Pelodiscus sinensis: one gene and its partners. The protein of the gene in region 3 interacts with the protein of the main gene of each other region in a pairwise test. Links are inferred from orthologs where the notes say so. Each region holds a gene or a part of one and is shown on either strand. Other genes may lie near its edges.

Region 1 (7,433 bases), on a different chromosome or scaffold from region 3:
ACTGAGCAATGGAGCCAAGAATAAATTCCCAGGGCAACTCCAGGCAGCTCACCCAGCCCCCCACTGCGGTAGGATCGGCTCTGCACTCCTGGCGCGTCTCCACGGCTTGATCTGAGCCGGTCCAGTCATCCCCCGGCTGGTCCCTTGCCTCCAGCTGACACAGCACCGCCGTGGGGCCCGGTTCTCATTCTGTAGCAATTACTCCCTGAGCAGCCCCAGCACTCGCTCCTGATCTGCTGGGCAGAACTGAGCTCAGGGCGACTGGCCCCACAGGCACGGAGAGGAGCAGCGGCCCCGGGCACGAGGGCGGAAGGAAAATGGTTCATTTCCAAGTGAGCACTGTGTCTGGCTCATTCTTTACGGGTGCGTCTGGTCCCGGCGCCAGTGAGGGGAGCCGGGCTGGGTGAGTGTGCGTGCTGGTGATTTGCACCTTGCTCTGCCAACTCATACTGGCCCTGCCAGCATGGCCCTGCCATGAAGGGGGTGGGAGGAGAACCCCAGCAGCCCTGGGACACTCAGTTGGGTCAGAGGGGCCGGGTAAACACCAGAGGTGGCCAGTCCCCCAGGGAGAGGGCTGGTCTCCGAGCCTGGACTGGGGAAGAGGGGTTCCTGGGGCCGGGCGATAGCTCTAAGAGCAGGCTACTCAATCCCTTGGAGCCAGGGGGTTCCAGCAGGCGCGCTGGAGGCAGAGTGGGGGCTGGCGTTCACTGCATGAGCAGGCAGCAGTTCTGCCGCCCTCCCTTGGCACTCACGTATGTTGAAGCAAGAGAGTAAAGCGGCATTTCTGCCCAGAGGCTGGGGCCAGTGCTAGGCAGGGAGGAGACAGCACGGGGCGGGAGACATGCTACTTGTAGCTAGCCTTGGGGGCAGTTCTTAAAGCCACCGGCTCCTGGCTGAGGAGGGTCCGGTGGGACACGGGAGCTCTGGATCCAGTGCCTGGCACAGACGGCCTGAGGGACTGTGGAGGCCCCCGGCAGCTCAACTCCCATCTCTGCACTGGAGCTGCCCATGCTGGGTGCTGAGCAGTGGAGAAGCTCCGTGCTCCAGGCCTCCCTCTGTAAGTACTTTCTTCCCCCCAGGTCTGCTTCTCTGCCCCTTGGGACGGGCTGTCCTCTTGTGGATGCATCTAGTGGCTGCGTCACGGCTGGGGCCTCCCCCGCACTGCTATGCAAATCCCTACACTCCCTCGCACCAAGTCAGGGAGATGGTGTCCCCAAGGGCCCAGCAGGCAGCACAGAGCCCAGCGGGTGCAAAAGCATCATCAGCTCCAACTCTGGCCCAGTGCTGGTGGTGTCAGTAATGGGAGTCGCCCTGGACAAGGGCACAGACTGTATTTCCTGCCGGCGCTGGCCTCAGTCCTTACACAGACAGGCTGGCCCAGCCCTTAATCAAACCTGCAGCCAAGAAGCCCTCCTGGCAGAGGGGCTCTGAATGGCCCTATAACTTGGCTTAGCTCAAAAGAACCAGAAGCGGTGTAAATAACGCGGAACGCCTCGTCCGTGATGTTAACACGGGTCTGCTCCAGAGCTTAGGCCGGCACTGGGGGCCCTGGGCATTTACAGTCAAATCTGCCCATGCAGAGACAAAAATATTCTCTGCTTGGTAGCACCTGGAATATCCAATTCCCCTGAACTGTAATGTATCCAAAGCCCGCAGGTGCCTTTGGGAGTCTCCGCCTAACGTGACAAGGTGAAGTGTTTATTGGCTGGAAAGAGCCATGAGCCCCTTGTGAAATCTGGCTATTGTAGGGGCTCGCAGAGTTGCACGTCTGACTGTGGCATTGCATTCAGAGCTGGGCAGCCAAAGAGGAGAGCAGCGGCTGCTGGCTGGACTCCCAGCTCAGAAGGTAGCACTGTCACCAGCAGCAGCCCGGAAGTAAGCAGGGCAGTATTGTGTTTCCACTATTGTAGCCTTGGGGCTTTTTTCCGGAAAAGCACGTCTAGATTGGCATGGACGCTTTTCCGCAAAAACTGCTTTTGCGGAAAAGTGTCCGTGCCAATCTAGACACTCTGTTCCGAAAATGCTTTTAACGGAAAACTTTTCTGTTAAAAGCATTTCTGAAAAATCATGCCAGTCTAGACGTAGCCCATGGGACTGCCGGGTTCAAGCGAAGGGCCGGGTAGCTATCCCACAGTAACCAATTCTCTGGCTCTCCTCTGGAGTGCTGTTCTGCCTCCACGGGCCATAGGCATAAGGAAACTTTCCGGGTCTGTCTGAATGCTCTGAAATATGAACCAAAGCAGCCTGACTTGATAGCAGCAAGCTCAGTCCCCGAATGGCATCAAGCCAGCCACGCCAACTTATTATTGATTTAAATGGGCTTAGTAGTAAATGAAATGGGACATTTCATGTTATGGTGTTTTAACGGGGCCAGTTTTACACAGCTGAAAACAACTATGAGCTGACACTAGGAGGAAGAATAATTAGAAAAATATGTGGAATAATGTGGAATAATTCAAGTACATTTTACCAAGTGCCCAAGAAGCTGCAATCCCACGAATGAGAACAAAAGCTATGGCCCATTAAAAAACTAAACTGGTTTAGAGGGGAAGTGAAGACATCTATAAAAACTTTTATGTATAAATGGAAGAAAGTGTCACACTTTAAATAATCATATATATATAGTAGCCCAATGTCTGTGACTCTAGTGCTGAAATGCTGGCTGTTCCCTCTGGGCGGCACTGCTGCCTCCCACTGTGGCGCTCAGCTGACTTTTGCGCTGCTCAGCTGGGCCGCCGTGCAGGAGCAAGCGGTCATTTGGGGTCCGCGCTCCCCATGCAACACGGGGGTGCTTCATGGAGAGTGCGGGGCCCAAACGGCCGCTTGCACTGCTTGCTCCCACGGGGCGGCGCGCCTGAGCGGCGCAGAAGTCAGCTGAGCACCACGGTGGCTGGCAAAGGGGGACTGGGCGGTGACGTACACACCCATGGGGCCTGGACAAGCGTGCATCCCCGACAGAGACAGAGGAGCGGAGAGAGAGTGAAAGGCAGGAGGCGGAGAAGAGAAAGAGAGAGACAGAAGGCAGAGGAGAGCTGAGAGGGGGGGGGAGGCAGTAGGAGGAGGCGGAGAGAGAGAGAAAGATACACAGAGCGAGAGACCAGAGGCTCAGGAGAGAAGACCAACATGGAGGAGAGACCTGAAAATCCCATCTTATGACAGGCTAATTGGCTAGTATCTGAAGATACACCTATCTCATAGAGCTGGAAGGGACCTTGAGAGGTCACTGAATCCAGTCCCCTGCCCTCATGGCAGGGCCAAGTACCATCCCTGACAGATTTGCCCCAGATCCCTAAGTGGCCCCCTCAAGGATTGAGCTCATAAGGCTGGGTTTAGCAGGCCAATGCACAAACCACTGAGTTATCCCTCCCCTCTAAGTTGATGTTGATCATTAATATAAATCAGAAATTAGGAACTGTAGACAATTGATAAGGGAAGCAAATGGACATAAGGAGACATCTATGACCAGAAGAATTAAAGACAAAAGGAAGGCATTTTTCATACATATTAGGACAAAAAAAATCTGATAATGGTATTGGTTCATTATTAGATGGAAATGGTAGAATTATCAATATCAGTGCAGGAAAGACAGAAGTGTTCAGTAAATATTTCCTTTCTGATATAATCTCATCCTATGGTGATGATAACTTGTTCCATTTCACCAATATGTAAAACAGAATCTACCAAAATTAAACATTTTAAAATCAGCAGGAGCAGATAACCCACAACCAAAAGTTTTAAAAGAGCTGGCTGAGGCACTCAATAGACCATTAATTATTATTTTAAACAAGTCTTGGAGCACTGGGAAAGTTCCAGAAGACTGGGAGAAAGTTAATGTTGTGCCAATTTTTTAAAAAGGGGTAAACAGGCTGACTAAATATAGACCAGTCAGCTTGATATTGATCTCAGTCAAGCTAATGGAGTGGATGATAGGACCCATTAGGAAACTAAAAGGTAAGTCATAAATGCAAATCAAAATGGGTTTAAGGAAAATAGATGGGTCAAAGGAATTTGATAAGGGTACTAGCTTTGATGAAATGCCCTGAGAGGCCTATAAAGCATTTGAGCTGGTACAACCCAACATTTGGAAGTAAACAGTGGAGTGGCATAAAACAAGGGGGCCCCTGGCTCAGGGCCAGGTCCGAACGGGTCGGCCGGCACGCAGGCGGTTTGCTGGGTCTGGCTCCGGGTCCCGTCTTTGTGCCAAGGAGCTGGGTGTCCCGTGCAATCGACGGGTGCTCACAGGTGCTACGCAGAGGGGTGGGCAGGGGAGGAAGAGGGTCCCTGGTTTGGGGGCGGGGCTGGAGGCGGGCCCTCAGGGCCAGGCTCTTCTGTGCCAATGGCCTGGGCAGGGGCGGGGCCTAGCGGGAGATGGGCGGGGCCAAGGTTTGGCTTCGCGTTTGTCCCTCCCCAGCCACCAGCCCCAGCTGGTGGGGGGCGGGGTCTTGTTGCCAGGCAACGGAAGCGTCCGAGAAACTGCGGAGAGCAGCGGCTGAGGGGTAGGGGGGGGCGATCGCTGCCCGCGGGGGGGGGCGGGGGGGGTGTTCGCTGCCCGCGGAGGGGGGCGGGGGGGTGATCGCTGCCCGCGGGGGGGGCGGGGGGGCGATCGCTGCCCGCGGGGGGGGTCGGGGGGGGGTGATCGCTGCCCGCGGGGGGGGGTGGGGGGGCGATCGCTGCCTGCGGGGGGGGTGCGGGGGTGTGATCGCTGCCTGCGGGGGGGGGCGGGGGGGTGTTCGCTGCCCGCGGGGGGGGGCGGGGGGGTGATCGCTGCCCGCAGGGCGGAGGGGCGGGGGGGTGATCGCTGCCTGCGGGGGGGGGGCGGGGGGGTGATCGCTGCCTGCGGGGGGGGGCGGGGGGGGGTGATCGCTGCCCGCGGGGGGGGGCGGGGGGGTGTTCGCTGCCCACGGGGGGGGGTGGGGGGCGATCGCTGCCTGCGGAGGGGGGCGGGGGGGTGATCGCTGCCTGCGGAGGGGGGCGGGGGGGTGATCGCTGCCCGCAGGGCGGAGGGGCGGGGGGGGTGATCGCTGCCCGCGGGGGGGGGGGCGGGGGGGTGTTCGCTGCCCACGGGGGGGGGTGGGGGGCGATCGCTGCCTGCGGAGGGGGGCGGGGGGGTGATCGCTGCCCGCGGGGCGGAGGGGCGGGGGGGTGATCGCTGCCCGCGGGGGGGGGGGGGGGGGGGCGATCGCTGCTTGCGGAGGGGGGGCGGGGGGGTGATCGCTGCCCGCGGGGGGGGGGGGTGGGGGGCGATCGCTGCCTGCGGAGGGGGGGCGGGGGGGTGATCGCTGCCCGCGGGGGGGGGGGGGGGGCGATCGCTGCTTGCGGAGGGGGGGCGGGGGGGTGATCGCTGCCCGCGGGGGGGTGGGGGGCGATCGCTGCCCGCGGGCCCGGCCGGTCTCACAGCCCTGCCCCCCGCTCCCCCCGCAGGTGCCGGGCCGCGCCATGTCCATCCCCTTCTCCAACACCCAGCAGCGCATCCCGTGCGGCTTCGCCAACCTGCTGGAGGGGCTGGCCCGGGAGGTGCTGCGGGAGCAGCCTGCGGACATCCCCGCCTTCGCCGCCCAGCACTTCGAGAAGCTGCTGGACAAGCGGGACAGTGAGTGGCGGGCGGAGCCGGGAGCCCTGAGCTCTGCTCCCGCTGGGTGACCCAGGCGCCCGCCTCCAGCATCCCCACCTGCCCAGCTCTGCCACGGGCGGTGCAGCGAGCCCTGGATCCGCGCTCAGGTCTGGGGTGGCTTGTCCCCCTGGAAGGGCTCTCACTGAGCCCAGGGTTACTGCACAAATGCCCGTGGCTGCTTCCTGGGGTCCCCCGGGGCTCTGGTCTCCCTGTGCCCCATTTCCTTTATCGCCTTTGCCCACGAAAGCTCCTTGTGGGTCCCCCCTGGCCTGCCAGCTGATGCTCTGTCCCAGAGGGAAGGGGCAGGCAGGAGGAGGTTCCTGGGGCTGGTTGGTTCTGGCAGGCTCCAGGCTACTCCTCTCACTTTGACTTCCACCCTATGCTTTGAATGGCTCCTGTGGGTGATGGGGGCCACCCCTCAGGGCTGTAGGAGAACCCCACTAACCTGGGGTGAGGGTCAGCCACTGGGCCTGAGGGTAACTGGCTTACTGCTCCAGGGCAAGCGGTTTCTGGACACGTGAGTCCCTCTAGGATCTGCAGTGGGGCCATTTTCTTGGGTCATCTCCATTTCCCCATGGGAGGCAGCATGGTCACCACAGGCCCCAGTGAATTGTTCAAGCTGGTGCATGCTGTGCCGGCAGGCACGGGCCTCTGCGCACAGCCTGGCCAGCCCAGGGGGTCTCCTGCGCTGAGCTCCCTTGCTGTGCAGCTACCTATTTCACCTGCCAGGTGCTTCAGCAGGTTGGGCAGGGCAGGAACCTGCAGTGGCCAGGGGAGGGCTGATCCATCACTCCAACCATCACCTGGTCTGTACTCCAACTTGCCATAGCCAGGGCCACCTGGCCCAGCCCGACTCTGACACAGCCAGGGCAGTCCAGTCTCGGCCCTGATCCCGACACAGCCAGGGCAGTCCAGTCTCGGCCCTGATCCCGACACAGCCAGGGCAGTCCAGTCTCGGCCCTGATCCCGACACAGCCTGGGCAGCCTGGCCCTGATCTGGAGCCCGTCCATCCCATCCTTGCTGCAGCCTGGGAGGCCCAGCCCTGGAGCTGCCAAGGTGAGGAGCGGTGCTGTCCACGATGCTGCTGTGAGGCGAGAGAGCTGAGGGAGTCAGCGCTCCTTGCAGTAGAGTCCCTGGAGCACCCTCCTTCACCCCAAAGTACTCACCCCCATAGCCTGTACCACCAGATGGAGTCCTTTCTCCCTCGCAACCCCCTGTCCTAGCCTTAAGCTGCTCATCCTTAGCCGCACCCCAGAGCCCGCACCCCCCCAGCCCCAGGCCTGAGTCCCACTCCATACTCAGAACCCCTTGGCCCCCCCACCATATGAACTTTGTTATGTGCCCAATTAGCAAGTGACATGTTATCTCGCTGGTCAGAGAACAACATTGATTCCGCTCAGGGGTGGGAAAAATGAGAGAGGACGCTGTTCCCGTGTGCTTTAATTGTGGCTCTGTCCCGAGATGTTAGATGCTCCTGGGTGTGTTTGCTCCTCTGGGACTGTTCCTAGAACCACCACTGCAAGGCATTCCTTAGCTGGCAGGGCCTTGACTCTCGCCTGGGGGCTGTGCAGAAAACAGCCTTTCTTTTTCTCACAGCCACGCTGCCTCTGTTCTGAGTCTGTCAGTTTTGCTTCAGGATACTGGGCTAGATGGACCTTTGGTCTGACCCAGAATGGCCGTTCTTATGTTCTTCTTATGTTCCCTGTCATCCTGCTGCCACCCACAGTGAGTGTAATTTGACTGGGGAGCTTCCTGTCTTAATTACTCTCTTGACATTTATGTGATCAAACAAGAATGTCGGTTTTTATTTTCAGAATCCAG
Region 2 (7,405 bases), on a different chromosome or scaffold from region 3:
ACTTCCTTAGAATTATCACAGATTAATGTCTTGTTTTAGATAAGCACTGGTGCCCCCTATGATAAACCTGCAGCCCTAGTGATAAGTCATAATTCTTGTTACAACCCTGCATTTAAGTGGCTTTCTTGAATTAACAATGGAAGTGTGGCAATTTTGGTCTGGAAAGTTTCAGACTAGAACAGCAATTTAGCTAAATAAAAAGGCATATGCTATATTTCAACAATGCAGTTTCCTGTTTCAGCACAAGGTGGTTTTAGAAGGCAACTATAGCCCCAATCCTACATGTACATCACATGGGTAGGGTCCTAACAAATTCACAGTCCATTTTGCTCAATTTCATTGCTATGGGCATTTTAAAATCATAAGTTTCATAATTTTAGCTATTTAAATCTGAAATTTCATGGTATTGTAATTGTTAGAGTTGTGATCCAAAAAAGGAGTTGTGTGGGAGAGGGGAGTGCCCCAGCAAGGTTATTGTAGGGGAAGTGACAGTACTGCTACCCTTACCTGTGGCTGAACTGTGACTGCTGGGATCCAAGATCTGAAGGCAGAGCCACCACCAGCAGCACTGCAGAAGCAGGGATGGCATGGCCACCCATATTTCTGTGCTGTTGCCTAAAAAGTTGAGCCCTCAGTCAGCAGCTACCACACTCTGGCCACCTGCTCTGAAGGCAGCAGCACTGAAGTAAGGGTGGTAAAATATGGTATTGCCACCCTTACTTTTGCACTGCGGCTGGTAGGGTGCTATCTTTAGAGCTGGATGCCTGGCCAACAGCTATTGGTCTCTAGCTGCTGCCCAGCTCTGAAGACAGCACAAAAGTAAGAAATCTATTAGAGTTCTTACTAATCTTAATCTTAACTAAGATTAATTTTACTAATCTATTAGAGTTCTTTGAAGGAGTTAACAAAACATGCGGACAAGGGGGATCCAGTAGATATAGTATACTTGGATTTTCAGAAAGCCTTTGACAAGATCCCTCACCAAAGGCTCTTGGGTAAATTATATGGCCATGGGATAAGAGGGAAGGTCCTTTCTTGGATTGAGAACTGGTTAAAAGACAGGAAACAAAGGGTAGGAATAAATGGTAAATTTTCAGATTGGAGAGGGGTAACTAGTGGTGTACCCCAAGGGTCAGTCCTGGGACCAATCCTTTTCAAATTATTCATAAATGATCTGGAGAAAGGGGTAAGCAGTGAGGTAGTAAAGTTTGCAGATGATACCAAACTGTTTAGGATAGTCAAGACAGAAGCAGACTGTGAGGGACTCCAAGAAGATCTCACCAAACTGAGTGATTGGGTAACAAAATGGCAAATGAAATTTAATGTGGATAAGTGTAAAGTAATGCACATCGGGAAAAATAACCCCAACTGTACGTACAGTATGATGGGGGCTAATTTGGCTACGGCAAATCAGGAAAGAGATCTTAGAGTTATCGTGGACAGTTCCCTGAAAACTTCCACACAGAGTGCAGCGGTGGTCAAAAAGGCAAATAGGATGCTAGGAATTATTAGGAAAGGGATAGAAAATAAGACCCAGAATATCTTACTGCCCCTGTATAAAACTATGGTACGCCCACATCTTGAATACTGTGTACAGATGTGGTCTCCTCACCTCAAAAAAGATATTTTGGCCTTAGAAAGGGTTCAAAAAAGGGCAACTAAAATGATTAGGGGTTTGGAACAGGTCCCATATGAGGAGAGGCTAAAGAGACTGGGACTTTTCAGTTTAGAAAAGAGGAGACTGAGGGGGGATATGATAGAGGTCTATAAAATCATGAGTGGTGTGGAGACGGCTGATAAAGAAAAGTTATTTATTAGTTCCCATAATAGAAGAACTAGAGGACACCAAATGAAATTAAAGGGTAGCAAGTTTAAAACTAATAAAAGAAAGTTCTTCTTCACACAGCGTGTAGTCAACCTGTGGAACTCCTTGCCAGAGGAGGCTGTGAAGGCTAGGACTATAATAGAGTTTAAAGAGAAGCTAGATAATTTCATGGAGGTTAGGTCCATAAAAGGCTATTAGCCAGGGGATAAAATGGTGTCTTTGGCCTCAGTTTGTCAGAGGCTGGAGAGGGATGGCAGGAGACAAATCGCTTGATCATTGTCTTCGGTCCACCCTCTCTGGGGCACCTGGTGCTGGCCACTGTCGGTAGACAGGATACTGGGCTAGATGGACCTTTGGTCTGACCCAGTACGGCCGTTCTTATGTTATGTTAAGAACAGCAAGATTGCTGCATCCTTAAAATGACCTTGTAGCCCTGACAGACGATTCCCTTTTGAGTCAGGGCCCCAACGTGAGATGTGTTCTCCCCTGTGAAATCTATATAATATCGGGGGGGAGGGGGGGGAGCACACACAAAACCAGATTTCACTGTCAATGATGTATTTCATGGCCATTAAATTGGTGGCACCATGCAGATGGGTTTACTTCCACCATCCCCTATAGACTCCATTCTTACTGGGAGGTCTCTGTATAAAGCTCATTGTAGGATTGGGGCACACTTCAATATTTGAGACATAACTTTGGAACACACCTTCAGCATTTATACTCAACTCTGTTGAGTTTACTTCTGTTGTTGCATATGGATTATTCCCAACCATTGGCACCAGGCAATCAGTGTAGAAGTAACCAACTTTAGGCATGTCAAAGGTAGAAATAAGTAGATCTACTGCAAGCTGGCCAACATTCCCAACGGATACAGCTGGCTGGAACAACAGAAGACTTGTGACCATATTGTTATTACAGTTTTTATACATTCAACTGTGATTTGAATAATGAACTATGTATAATATTCAAATTAATAAATGAAAACTCCACAAAATATCTGTAGGTATATGCTCAAATCACAATCCTCTTACCCAATATTTTAAAAGTGGGGTCAGAAAACCTAAAACTTCCCTTTATGGAAGGTACTGGCTTTTTAACAGATTGTTCCTGTACTAACAGACCAGCACTGAATAATAAGATGTGCACTATTGAAAAAAAAAATCAACATACAGCCTCTACTACCCATAAAGATTAGGCTTAAGATAGCAAACTATGAACATTTAGTTGTGTAATGGGAAAACAATAGTTTTTGTTAGATTAGTTGAAAACTTAATCAAGGAGACTGCACCAAACTCAGCTACCACTGTCTTTGACCTGGGTGCGCTCAAGGATGGGCATTTGAACTAGGGATGTCAACTAGCAATTAATTTACTAGTCAAGTAGTCGATGAATTCTCCATTGACTACTCAACTTGGCACTTCAGCATTCCGCCTTTGAAAAAGTTGGACCACCGCATGGAGCCCAGGGCCAGCGGGAAGTTTCACTGACTCTGGGCTCCAAGCAGGCACTTCCCGCTGGGGACTCTTGTACATTTCAAAGTTGGTGGAGCCCAGGGTCAACTTCCCAAGTGATGCTGGGCTCAGTATGGTGCTGCCGCTTTGTGATACCACCACAGCCTTTCAAAGTGACAGTGCCACAGGGTCCATGCGGCTCCACTGCTTCAAACTACCCCTCTCTTCTCCCCCTGTTGTTGCCTCTATCTGATAGAGGTAGCAAGGGGGTGGGGGGAGCAACTAGTTGGATTTGCTTACCGGATAGTCGACTAGTCGTTCACATCCCTAGTTTGAATGTGCTGCCTCTACCACCAGCTTCCCAACATCCACACAGCGCTTGCCGTTACTCGCATCCCCTCTTGCGGGGGCGGGTTAGACAAGCGACCCCCCCCCCCAGGTCCAGGCTACGACAAAGCCCCGGCAAGTAACAGCAGCGGAGACACGTTTCTATTTCCCAGCTCGGGGAGGGGGAGGGGGGGCTGGTTCTCTGCCCCCCGCCGCTCACCCACCCAGCGCTTCCGCAGGGACGCGCATCCCGCCCCGCTGCGCCCTCAGGCCCCGACGGGGGCGACGGTTCCCCCCCCAGGGCCGCGCGCGGCGTTACCAGCAGGAGCGTGAAGCCTTCAAAGCTGGCGGGCGCGGAGCCACCGCAGGGCACAAACATCGCGCCGGGAGCGTTCAGCGCTGGGTGCGCGCGACTCGCCTCCGCCAGGGTCCTTCCGCTCTGCGGCGCATTTGCCTGACGCCTAAGCGGGGGCTGATGTGTGAGGGGGGAGTTAGGCGTCCTCTGTAACCGCCTGTCCCCGTAGGGCTCCTCGGCAGGACGTCCTCTGATGCGTAACTGGAGCCCCTGACAGGGGGGGCGGCCGGCCCGTTTCTCGGCCCCGGGCTGGAGGAGGGTCCGGGCTTCCAATCAGGCGTCTGAGCAGGGCGCCCTCGCGCTCTGGCGGGACGCTTGTTCGAAAAGCGGTTGGGGCGGAGCGCGCGGTTGCGGAGCGCAGTGGGCGGGGCTGGGGGGAGGGGGCACCGGCTCTGGGTGTTGGGGGTTCGCCATGGCGCTGCCTCCGGAGAAAGCTTCGGAGCTGAAGCAGATCATCCGCCAGCAGCTGGCCAGGGTGAGGGGCAGGAAGTGCGCGCGCCGGCTCGGCCGGGGCTTTACCCTGCGCGCGGAGGGCTCGTGCCGGCTTCACTGTGGGGGGCGGGCTGGTGTCTGCTCGCGCCGCTCGTGTGAGAAGCAGCGGGGCTGAGGCGCTCGGACCGACGTTATAGTGCCCCCCCCCTCCCCCCCCCCAGCCTGCAGGCACAATGGGGGCAGCTGCGTCCCGGGGCTCGTATCCCCGCAGCTCGGGCGTTCTCTGCCTTTTCCCTGTCGGCGCGAGTTACCCGCCAAGGGTCCCGCCACTTCTCCCACCCGCCCCATCAGTTGTATGTGCCCCGAGGCAAGTGCGGCTGCGCACCACCGCTCGCCACACATCCCGCTGGCTGAGGGGGGCTCTGCTAACCAGCTGGCCGGCCTTTGAATCTTTACAGCGCACACACTTGTCCAGGCAGTGCTGGCTGCTGCCTGTGGGGAAGACAGAGGGTTGGATTTTTCATTATCTCTACCTTTGAGTCTTTGATTGGGACATCGCAAGCCATCCATGACTTGTGCCAATGAGTGCTGGCAGCTTTTCCATTGGCCTGTGTGATAGTCCTGTGGAAACCTTGGCTCTCAGTGCGGAGAGAGGGAGTGAACTGAGGTGGTGTAACCCTTCTGTAGGTAGCACTTGGCAGTCAGAAGGGCCAGTTCAGTATCTAGGGAGTTCTTTCAACAATGTACCCACACTGGCTCAAGCCAGTAAACCTACCCACTGGGTGCCTTTAAAGGTAATTCTTCTCTCTCAAGCACTGGGTCGGAGACAGAAACAGTCTATTTAATGACAGCAATGTAACATTAATCCACAGAAACACACACAAACAAAACCCAGAAGCAAGATACGGTCCCGAGATCTTTAATCTACCCTCCAACTCATATAGTGTGCTTTCCCCCCACTTCAAACACCCTGCTCATGGCTCTGTCCAGTCAATGCAGACCCAGAGCTTATAGGTACATCATCATGTTGTCTCCCCTCCTTGAGGATGTGGCAATGCCGCTCACTTCCTGCTCCTGCCAGCCGCTCCACCAGTTACCTGCTGGCCGCTCCCTCCAACAGCCTTGTGGTAGATTTGGCTTTGGGCCAAACCTTTGTGATTTCAGCTGCTCAGTGATTTTAACGCTTGGCCAAAAGCACAGTCTAGCCAAAAAATTCCAGCATCCGCTGGAATACATTTTAAAATCAAAAAGAGACTCTTTATGGACTCTGCAAAAGCGACGAGGAGTCCTGTGGCACCTTATAGACTAACTGAAGTGTAGGAGCATAAGCTTTCGTGGGCAAAGACCCACTTCGTCAGATGCATGCATCTGACGAAGTGGGTCTTTGCCCACGAAAGCTTATGCTCCTACACTTCAGTTAGTCTATAAGGTGCCACAGGACTCCTCGTCGCTTTTGCAGATTCAGACTAACACGGCTACCCCTCTGATACTTGACTTTATGGACTCTGTTCTACTTCTTACATTAGACCGGATTTGGGGAGGAGGGGGACAAAACAGGTTGAACCAGTCTTACAGCTCACGCCTGGAGTGCATGCAGCCTGCTGATTCAGAGTTCTGCCCTCCTCCCAGTTGACTTTCCAGAGTTTTGGCAGAGAAAGCCTTATTCTTTACACTGATAGTCTCTCTCCTTTAAACTGAGTGAAACACAGTATGACTTTTCTGCATTCCCCCAATAACTGCAAGCATTGGTGGTCATATCTTACAATTCCTGCATTTAGGGTCAACAGAGTTTGTGGCTCCACAACAATGGGCAAAACACCATTCTAACTGTTGAATATCTAGTAGGTCTAAGCAAACTGAGCGAACTATTTTTACCTAACCACACCCAGGATTTCTTTCCCATTCCAGCTGGCTGTAATGGAAGCATTGATTCAAACCCTGCCTACAGGGGATTAGTCCAGAGTGGCCAAGAAATTGTACTCCTGGCCACAAGCAGTATCTAGCATAACCTGACCGTGGCTGGAACTATGCCTACCAAAATTGAGAGACCCACATATTGGTTGGGGTTGATTTCAGAGAATCACCAACAAGGCTGAGCATGATGTTGAGTTCAGTGCCTACCCACTGAAGCTTTGCACCAGACTGGCACATTTTTGCTGATGCCAAGACAAGAGCATATAGTGATGTTCGAAGCATGCATTCATCACATCTCCACAATGTGCTAATGAGCTTCTGGATGATGTTAACCTTCTTCTTTATCTTCTTTGTGATATTATCAAGATGTTGGCAATAGTTCAGCATCCAGTTGAGTTTAATGCCATGGGTTGTAGTCATGTAGTATAGGCAGATCTCAAAAGTCCACTTTCAGTGGCATTTGGTTTCTTGTGTGTTCATGTGGAAGGCAGAGACAAGTGTTGTCAAAGCGTTCGGTTTCAGTCACCAAGTTTTGACATGTCTCGCATATTTGGAGGTGATTGTTCAATATTGTTTGCAAGGATGAATTTATGGGATGATGTGACCAGATTCTCACTAGGGATGTTAAATATCAGTCAATAAGGGGGTCGGAGCGATCCTGCAGTGGGGTTGGCTCCCGGGGGCAGTGCTAGCCGGGACTGAACAGTCCCATCTCATGGTGCCACCGGGACCACTACAGCTCAGCCTTCCCTGCTTCCACCCCCGCACTGTGTAGATGGTGCTGAGGGGAACTGGCTTTTAAGCCGACTCCCCCCAGCACTGGCTCCTGCTTCCCCCCCTTGCTGCCTCTGATACAGAGACAGCAGAGGGAGACTAGTTAAGTAGTCACTCAACTACCTGATAAGCCTGTGCTTATCAGGTAGTCAGCTACGCAACTAGAAGCTTTCATCTCTAATTATCACTGGTATACAATAGGAATGTAAAATCCCATTTAATTAGTTAACAGGTTAAAAATGTTTAACCAGTTGTTAATGGATTATGGTGAGGGATGGGCGGGGGACTGCGGATACCCGGACAGAGCAGCTCCTGTTCATGGCA
Region 3 (7,730 bases):
GCGGCCACAGGAAAGAACCTTGAGAAGTCATCTCGTCTAGTCCCTCTGCAAATGTAGGACTAATCTGAAGAAGTAGGTTTTGCCTACCATGATACCAACTACATGTTTTGTTAGTCTTTAAGGTGCTCCTAGACTATTTGTTGTTTTTTAAGTTTTTCCAATTAAAGACTAGCTCAGCTACCCCTCGGAAGCTAAGTAAACTCAGACTATCCCAGACAAGTGTTCCCTGTAAGCTGTGTGCTTCTGTGGCCACTTAGGAGAAATTCAAATACTGCCCAGCTGAGTGGCAGAGAGCCTCCAGCTAGGTTTTTTGTTTCTATTGGTGGTGCACATTTGCATATGTCTTGATGCACATAAAATTTATTCTGCGCATGGATGGGAAATATCGGAGGGAACTCTGCTTGACAAGTGTTTGTACAAACTCTTTTTAAAATCCTCAACTGATGGGGATTCCATAACCTCCTTTGGAAACCTATTTCAAAAGCTTAAGTACCCTCATAGTTAAGGCTAAGATTTTACTACTCATTTTTAGTAAAAGTCACAGACTGTTTCTTTATTGTCCATGACCTTTCACAGAAGCCCCCCCGCCCATGGTTCAGTGGCCACCAGCGGCCAAGAGCTGAGCTCCCAGGGCCTCCTTTGCCCACAGAAACTCAGAGCTGTGAGGAGCTGGGTACTAAAGGGCTCCTGCCTCTCACAGCGGCTGGGAACTCACAGGGCCCTGATGCTCACAATGGTCTCAGGTGCTACAGATTCAATAACAGAAATCTCTGTAAGTCACTGACTCCATGACTTCCACCACCTGAGTAAGTCACAGACTCTGTGACTTCCACCATCTCGATGACAAACTCATAGCCTTAACATTTTTCCCCTAATACCTACCGTATTTTCCGGCGTATAGGGCGACTGGGTGTATAAGACGACCCCCTATCTTTTTAATTAAAAGATAGGGTTTCATCTTATACCCCAGCGCCCCTCCGCCTCCTTTGCTCCCGGTGTCCCTGGTCTGCTGGAGATGGTCCCCAGCAGACCAGAGGCACCGGGAGCAAAGCCGCCAGGAGCGCCTGGGCTGCCCCCCCCCCCCCCCCGCCGGAGCCCCTCCACGGCTTTGAAAGCCTCGGGGGAAGCCGGCGGGGGGGCATCCCAGGCGCGCATGGGCTGCGCCCCCGCCGGAGCCCCTCCGCGGCTTTGAAAGCCTCGGGGGAAGCCGGCGGCGGGGCATCCCAGGCGCGCATGGGCTGCCCCCCCGCCGGAGCCCCTCCGCGGCTTTGAAAGCCTCGGGGGAAGCCGGCGGTGGGGCATCCCAGGCGCACATGGGCTGCCCCCCCGCCGGAGCCCCTCCGCGGCTTTGAAAGCCTCGGGGGAAGCCGGCGGGGGGGCAGCCCATGCGCGCCTGGGATGCCCCGCCGCCGGCTTCCCCCGAGGCTTTCAAAGCCGCGGAGGGGCTCCGGCGGGGGGGGCAGCCCATGCGCGCCTGGGATGCCCCGCCGCCGGCTTCCCCCGAGGCTTTCAAAGCCGCGGAGGGGCTCCGGCGGGGGGGCAGCCCATGCGCGCCTGGGATGCCCCCCCGCCGGCTTCCCCCGAGGCTTTCAAAGCCGCGGAGGGGCTCCGGCGGCGGGGCATCCGGCGTACAAGACGACCCCCGATTTTGGGGGGATGTTTTTTAACATCAGAGGTCGTCTTGTACGCCGGAATATACGGTAACATAAATCTCCTTTGCTGCAGATTAAATCTATTTATCCCACCTTCAGTGGGCAGCAAGAACAATGGATCATGGCCCTCTTTGTAACAGCTCTTAACATATTTGAAGACTTTCAGGCTTCTTTTCAGTCCTCTTTTCTCAAGACTAATCATCCTGAGTTTTTTAACCTTGTCTCATAGGTCAGGTTTTCTAAAAATTTTGTCACTTTGGTTGCTTTCTTCTGGATTCTCTCTCATTTGTACACAACCTTCCTAAATTGTGGTGCACAAAATTGGACAGAGTACTCACACTGAGGCCTCAACAGTGCTTGGCAGAGTGGGACAATTACCTCCTCGGTCTTCTGTTAATTTATCCCAGAATAATATCAACATTATTTTCAACTGCTTCATATTCATGAAAACTCAATTTGTGACCCACTGTAACTTCTAGCAGATTTTCAGCAATATTGCCACCTAACAGTAATGTATTCCCCATTTTGTGGTTGTGCATTTGAATTTTTCCTTCCAAATTGAAGTAGTTTGCCCTTGTCTTTACTGAATTTCATCTGAATGAATTCAGACCAATTTGTAAATGTCATGAATTCTAATCCTGTTCTCTGAAGTGCTTGTTACTGTTCCCAGCTTGGGGTCACCCAACAAATTCTAACAAAATGATAACAAAAGGTTTGCTTCAGCCTACACTTAAAATGGTAATGAAAGTTCCATAAAGAGTATATCTATATTACAAAAATAAAACATAACACACACCTCCCTCAACATCAAATTTCAGAGTAGGCATGTTAAAGAGTAGTCGACTAGTCAACTAATCTATTCCCCCTCACCGCCTCTATCTGAGAGAGGCAGCAAAGGGGGAGAAAAAGAGGGGTACTTGAAAGTGGCAGCTCCACACAGCAGAGCCCAGGATCAGCTGTGCAGCGCTGCCGCTTTGAAATGTGGAGACAGTGTACAAAGAGGCAGCTGCCACACAGCTGATCCCTGGCTCAGATGTGTGGCGCTGCGCATGAGGAGCCCAGAGTCCCAGCTGATCCCAGGCTCCAGCATGACATTTCCACAGAACCCGGGATCAGCTGTGGAATCCCAAGCTGACCCCAGGTTCTGCGAAAATGCTATGCTGGAGCCTGTGATCAGTTGGGGAGTCCAGATGACCCCGGTTCCACATGGCATTTCAAAGCGGCAGCACAGCATGGAGCCCGGAGTTGGCGGGGGACTCTTGTGCATTTCAAAGCTGGCACCCTGTGCAACCTGGAGTCAGTGGGACTTCCCGCTGGCCCCCAGACTGCACATGGAGTTCCGTATTCCTCCTTTGAAATGTACAAGAGCCCCAACAGGGGCTTTTGTACATTTCAAAGGAGGAATGTGGAAGTGCCTATCACTAGTCAAGTAGTTGATGGAAATTCTATTGACTACTTGACTAGTCAATTAACTGCTAGTTAAATCCTTATTTCAGAGCCTGGGTCAACTGACTGGGAATTACAAGGCTAGAACTACAAGGCTAAAAATAACAGTGTAACTGTTCCTATTGGAGCTGGAGCCCAAGCTCTGAAACTCAGCATCAGCCCAAGTGGGAACCTCAACATTACAATTTTTAGCCTTCTTGCAGAACCCCAGGAAGTCCCTGTCAGTGGAACTGGCCTCTGAGACATGCTGCCTCAACAATTTATTTTTCAGTGTAGATATACCTTAACTTGGAGCTGAAGGCTAGAAGCATTTATAAAACCCTGCTGGTTATCTTAGTAATTGTTTCATATTCTTCAGAAGGATGCCTACCACCTTAACCAGGTCCCATCTCTTCTGAGGGAGTGTTATATGAACTGTAATTAACTCCACCTAATGTACTTTTTGTTTCCAGATACCTTAGCTCAGCTCCTTTCCTTGTATTTTTGTGCCTGGGTTTGTTTGAACTCCAAACATAATTCAAGGGTAGCTGTTAAATTCAGTTTTACTTCTCCTACATATGTAATGCATGCCTCTACAACTATTATGAAACCCATTAAATGTCCATTTGATCCTCCAGGTAGTACATTTATGCTCCAAATACATTTTGTTTAGCGGAAACTCCAAACTGCCCAATGTACAAACAAAAATGTTCATAAACATCAAGGAGTCTTGGGGCACCTTAAGAACATTTATTTGAGCATAAGCGTTTGTAGATCAAAACCACTTGGTCAGATGCATGAGTGGAAATCAGAGAGAGGGAGCAATTTCCATGCCATGTACCTGAATAAGTGGTTTTGACCCATGAAAGCTAATAGTCAACTAAATCTGTTAATCTTTAATGTGCCACAGGACTCATCACTACTTTTGCAGATACAAACACTGCTAACCCCCCCCCCCCCCCCCGAGAAAATTTCTTATTTGCATGAGGCCAGGAGTTTGTTACTGACACAGCCTACACAGAGAAACTAGAGGAAAAGCCCCGTTCCTTGGAAGCCCGCAAGCCAACAGTGTCTTTACTAATGCAGACGTGGCCAGGCCAAGCGCCCGTAGCGGGGGCGGGCTCATTAGCTGGAGCAGGACTTTGAACCAGCCCCGCGGGACAGGACGGGTGACTGCAGGGCAGGCTCCCCGCCACAGAGCACATCTCCGCCCTCCTCCGGGCAGGGCCCCTGCCACTTAGCTCAAAATGCTGGGGGGGGGGGGCGGCCTGTGCACGAGCCTCAGTCCCGGGCATCAGCCTCCCCCAGCAGCAGCCTTGGCACGGGCGATGCTCAGACTCTGCCCACGTGCCTGGTGCTGAGGGGCTTGAGGCTAAGCGCATGGAGCTCCCCCCCGGCTTGATCCTGCTGGTTGGTTCCTTCCGCTCGATCTCCCAGCCCCCTCCCCATTCCTATTGAGGCACAACGCGGTGCTCGGCCCCTCCCACGGACACACGCACGCCGCCAAACCAGGGCTCCGATCCCGGCGTGCAAGGCGCGGGGGCGGCATTCTCGGCGTGAACAGCACGGCCCGCTGGGAGTTGTAGTCCCCGGGCGCCTCATTCCAGCCTCTCTGCCGCGGGTGTCGCCCCTTCGCTCCCCACGGGGCGCGGTGGCCCAGTTTGGCCCCTGTCCCGTCCCGTAGCTGGGCACGAATTTCGCCCCCGTCCTCCGGTCATGCGGAGGCTGCTGTCGAGCCTCCGGCTCCATCCCGCCCGGCTGTGGGGAGCGGCCGCCGACCCCGCCCCGCGACAAAGGGCGCCGCCACCCGGCTGGGGGGAGCGGCGGGCAGCGGCGGCGGCCGCCGGGGTGCTGGGCCCGGGCCGCTCCATGGCGCAGGGCGGGGAGGCGGCGCAGGGGCCGGGGGCAGCCGGCGGGGACCTTCCCCCCGGAGCTGGCGAGTCCCTGGAGCATGGTGAGCAGGCGGCCGGGGGGTGGGTCCCGTGCGCAGCCAGGCTCTGCCCCGCCCCAGTCCCGGCCCGTGTTTCGCGGCCAGCTCTGCTGAGCCCAGGCCCAGGCTGGCGTTAAGCGGCCGCCTGCCTGCCCAGCCGCGCTCCCGGCTCCCCCTTCCCGGGCCAGGCCCGCCTGGGGAACCAGCCCCACTTAACCCGGCCTGTGTGTTTGCGCCGCACGAGAGCCCCTTTCCCACGTCGCTCGGAGGGAAGGGCGGCGTCAATGCGCAGCCAAGTCCTTTTGTCCGTGCTGTCCTCGTGATAGAGTCACCGCCCCCGTGGTCGGTGCCGTAGTGACAATCTCTGCTCTTGGGAGCTCACATTGTAAATAGACAGTAGCCAAAGACAGTTTTAGCCTTTTCTTTGCGGTTGGTGAACTGACAAGAGATTTAAGGGAGGTGGTGTCATTCGGAAGAGCTAGGGCAGAGTAATGAATGAGCCCACATGAGTTCTACTAGTAAACACAACACCATCTTACTTCCTGTAAAACAGGAGGGAGAAAGAGCGACATGTAGAGCAACATCATCTCCCCTTCCTGTCTATGAGGATAGAAAGAAATTAAAGAGCAGGCGTACAGTATGGAGCAAAGTTGATCTAATTTATTTAAGTCAATCCGTGTGAATACCATAACTGGAGTAGACCTACTTAGGTCAAGTTCACCGTGGGAGGTTGATGGGGAGAAAAAGTGTCCCTTCAACTTCCCTTATAGAAGCGTTCACAAGAAAGTGACCAGTAGTCTATTTAGAGGGTCTTCAGTATAGCAGCTAGATCAACCCTGTAGGATCAAAGTAGCATCAATCTCCCACTAAGTGTAGACAAGCCTTAAGGCTACATAGATAAGTATAGCCTTATTGTTATAGTGAATGCACGACTCATCTAACTGAATACAACAGGCAGAGTTGTGTCCACATGCCAGCTTTTAACGCTGTATGATCTTTTAGATGCATCAACATTTACTAACTCAGGCAACCAGGCTGTCAGATCAGTGTAAGAAAATCCCCACCTGTAGTATTTTAGCAAAGATGACATTTGCACATAATGGCAGCATGAATGTGGGACAATAAACATTGGTATATTTTTTCCAGCAGGCAACTGAGAGGATGGAAGATGATCTTTACCAGTTATACACAGCTATATCCTATCTATTAGGGATGTAAAATACTGTTTAATTGGCTAACAGATTAAACATTGTTTAACCTGTTAACCAATTAAAGAGGGGGTGAGCAGGGAGGGGCTGGAATGCCTTCTTTGTTCCTGCCACAGGCAAGGGCTGCTCCAGTCAGGCCAGAGCAACTCTTGCCTGCAAGAGGACAGGGCACTGCACAGGCAAGGGATGCTCTGGTGTCCCTATGGGAGCAGCCTAGTCTACGGCAGCCGGAGCCAGTCCCTTGCCAATTACAGGCAGGGGAGTTGCTCCAGCCCCAGTGGTTACACCTTCACATTTTTGTTATCTACACTACAAAAATAGTGTTGTAAACTCTTTGCAGGACAACAGTGCAGCCCCTTTGCCTAGCTTATGGCCAAGGGAAAATATTCATAGCTTTCACAGTTTGACTGTAATGTTAATAATGCATAAACAATAACCATAGACCAGAGGTGGGCAATAATTTTTTATTGGGGCCACTCCAAGATTTTGGAAAATGGTCAAGGGTCGCACTCTTACATGATATTAATGGAGGAGGTGTGGGGTCTGAGATGGAGGTTAAGTGCAGAAGGGAGCTTAGTGAAGAGACTGGGGTGCAGGAGGGAGAGTGGGGTCTGGGAGGGAGTTTGGATGAGGGAGGCAGTTATGATCTGGGGCACTGGACTGTACAGCTATTCATTAGATGATTTAAAGTAACTTTAATTCAGAGAAGTGGCTGAGTGGACAAATAAGGGGCAGCAGATTTTTGACCTCTGAGCGCTTTTGCATATATGGATGCCGGAGGAGGACAGAGGGCTTAGTTATGTGGAATAGGGGGGGAAGGAGTGGAGGGCAGAAGGTTGGGGAAGGGAGGGTTGGGTGCCAGAGGCAGGCTCTGGCTCGGAGACTTACTTGAGTGACTCCCAGCCAGCAGCCCAGCACATTTCTCAGGAAGGCAGTGAGCCTGCCCTACCCCCACCCAGGCTTCAGGGACATGTGCTTGTGTGAATAACTATGAGCCCAGGGGCAGAGGTGGCCCATGTGCTTCTTGTGATGCCTGTTATTCAAACAGGCAGCTCCCAGAAACCAGCTAATGGAATTGTGGTGGGGCGAGGGCAGCACATGAAGCCTCCCCCCCTCCTCTCCAAGCTCACAGTTTTAAAGAGAAATGGCTCCGTAGCTGCTTTCCTGAGTGGCGTGCAGGTGGGGAAGGCATGCGGGAGCCTGCCTGGGGCTCCCTGCAGTGTCCACAGGCCAGATCCAGTGGCTTGGTGGGCTGGAACCAGCCCGCGGACTGTATTTTGCCCAGGCCTGCCAGAGATAGATACAATTGTATCTAATTGTAAAAACTATACATAGAGTTTAAACATTAACATATATCTTCATCCTTTTCTGCAGAAAGGGGGCAAATTTAAACACTATGGGCTAGATCTACAAAAACATTTAAATCCTCAAAATCCTTGCTTAGCTGCCACCACACACTGGACACCTAAAGTCCTTAGGTCCTGAAATGTTTATTGATAAAATTTCAAAATGCAG

The links.
Region 1: the proteins of AKAP7 (region 3) and SPA17 interact in a two-hybrid assay, tested with the Homo sapiens proteins (3 studies listed by BioGRID and IntAct). The two-hybrid records come from large-scale screens. The link is inferred for Pelodiscus sinensis from reciprocal best matches to the Homo sapiens genes AKAP7 and SPA17.
Region 2: the proteins of AKAP7 (region 3) and CEP76 interact in a two-hybrid assay, tested with the Homo sapiens proteins (3 studies listed by BioGRID). The two-hybrid records come from large-scale screens. The link is inferred for Pelodiscus sinensis from reciprocal best matches to the Homo sapiens genes AKAP7 and CEP76.

Annotation. Positions count from the first base shown.
Region 1 is NC_134736.1:12,369,872-12,377,304, reverse strand, and holds the start of SPA17 (sperm surface protein Sp17), read left to right. Parts: upstream 1-4,355; 5' UTR 4,356-4,496; intron 4,497-5,421; 5' UTR 5,422-5,436; coding exon 5,437-5,590; intron 5,591-7,208; exon of another isoform or gene 7,209-7,261; coding exon of another isoform or gene 7,262-7,337; intron 7,338-7,426; coding exon 7,427-7,433. UniProt on the Homo sapiens protein: Sperm surface zona pellucida binding protein. Helps to bind spermatozoa to the zona pellucida with high affinity. Might function in binding zona pellucida and carbohydrates.
Region 2 is NC_134712.1:87,531,092-87,538,496, reverse strand, and holds the start of CEP76 (centrosomal protein of 76 kDa), read left to right. Parts: upstream 1-4,307; 5' UTR 4,308-4,373; coding exon 4,374-4,436; intron 4,437-7,405. Other genes in the region: PSMG2 (proteasome assembly chaperone 2), read right to left, coding at 2,535-2,706, 3,926-3,985. UniProt on the Homo sapiens protein: Centrosomal protein involved in regulation of centriole duplication. Required to limit centriole duplication to once per cell cycle by preventing centriole reduplication.
Region 3 is NC_134713.1:93,356,380-93,364,109, forward strand, and holds the start of AKAP7 (A-kinase anchoring protein 7), read left to right. Parts: upstream 1-4,647; 5' UTR 4,648-4,793; coding exon 4,794-5,031; intron 5,032-7,730. UniProt on the Homo sapiens protein: Probably targets cAMP-dependent protein kinase (PKA) to the cellular membrane or cytoskeletal structures.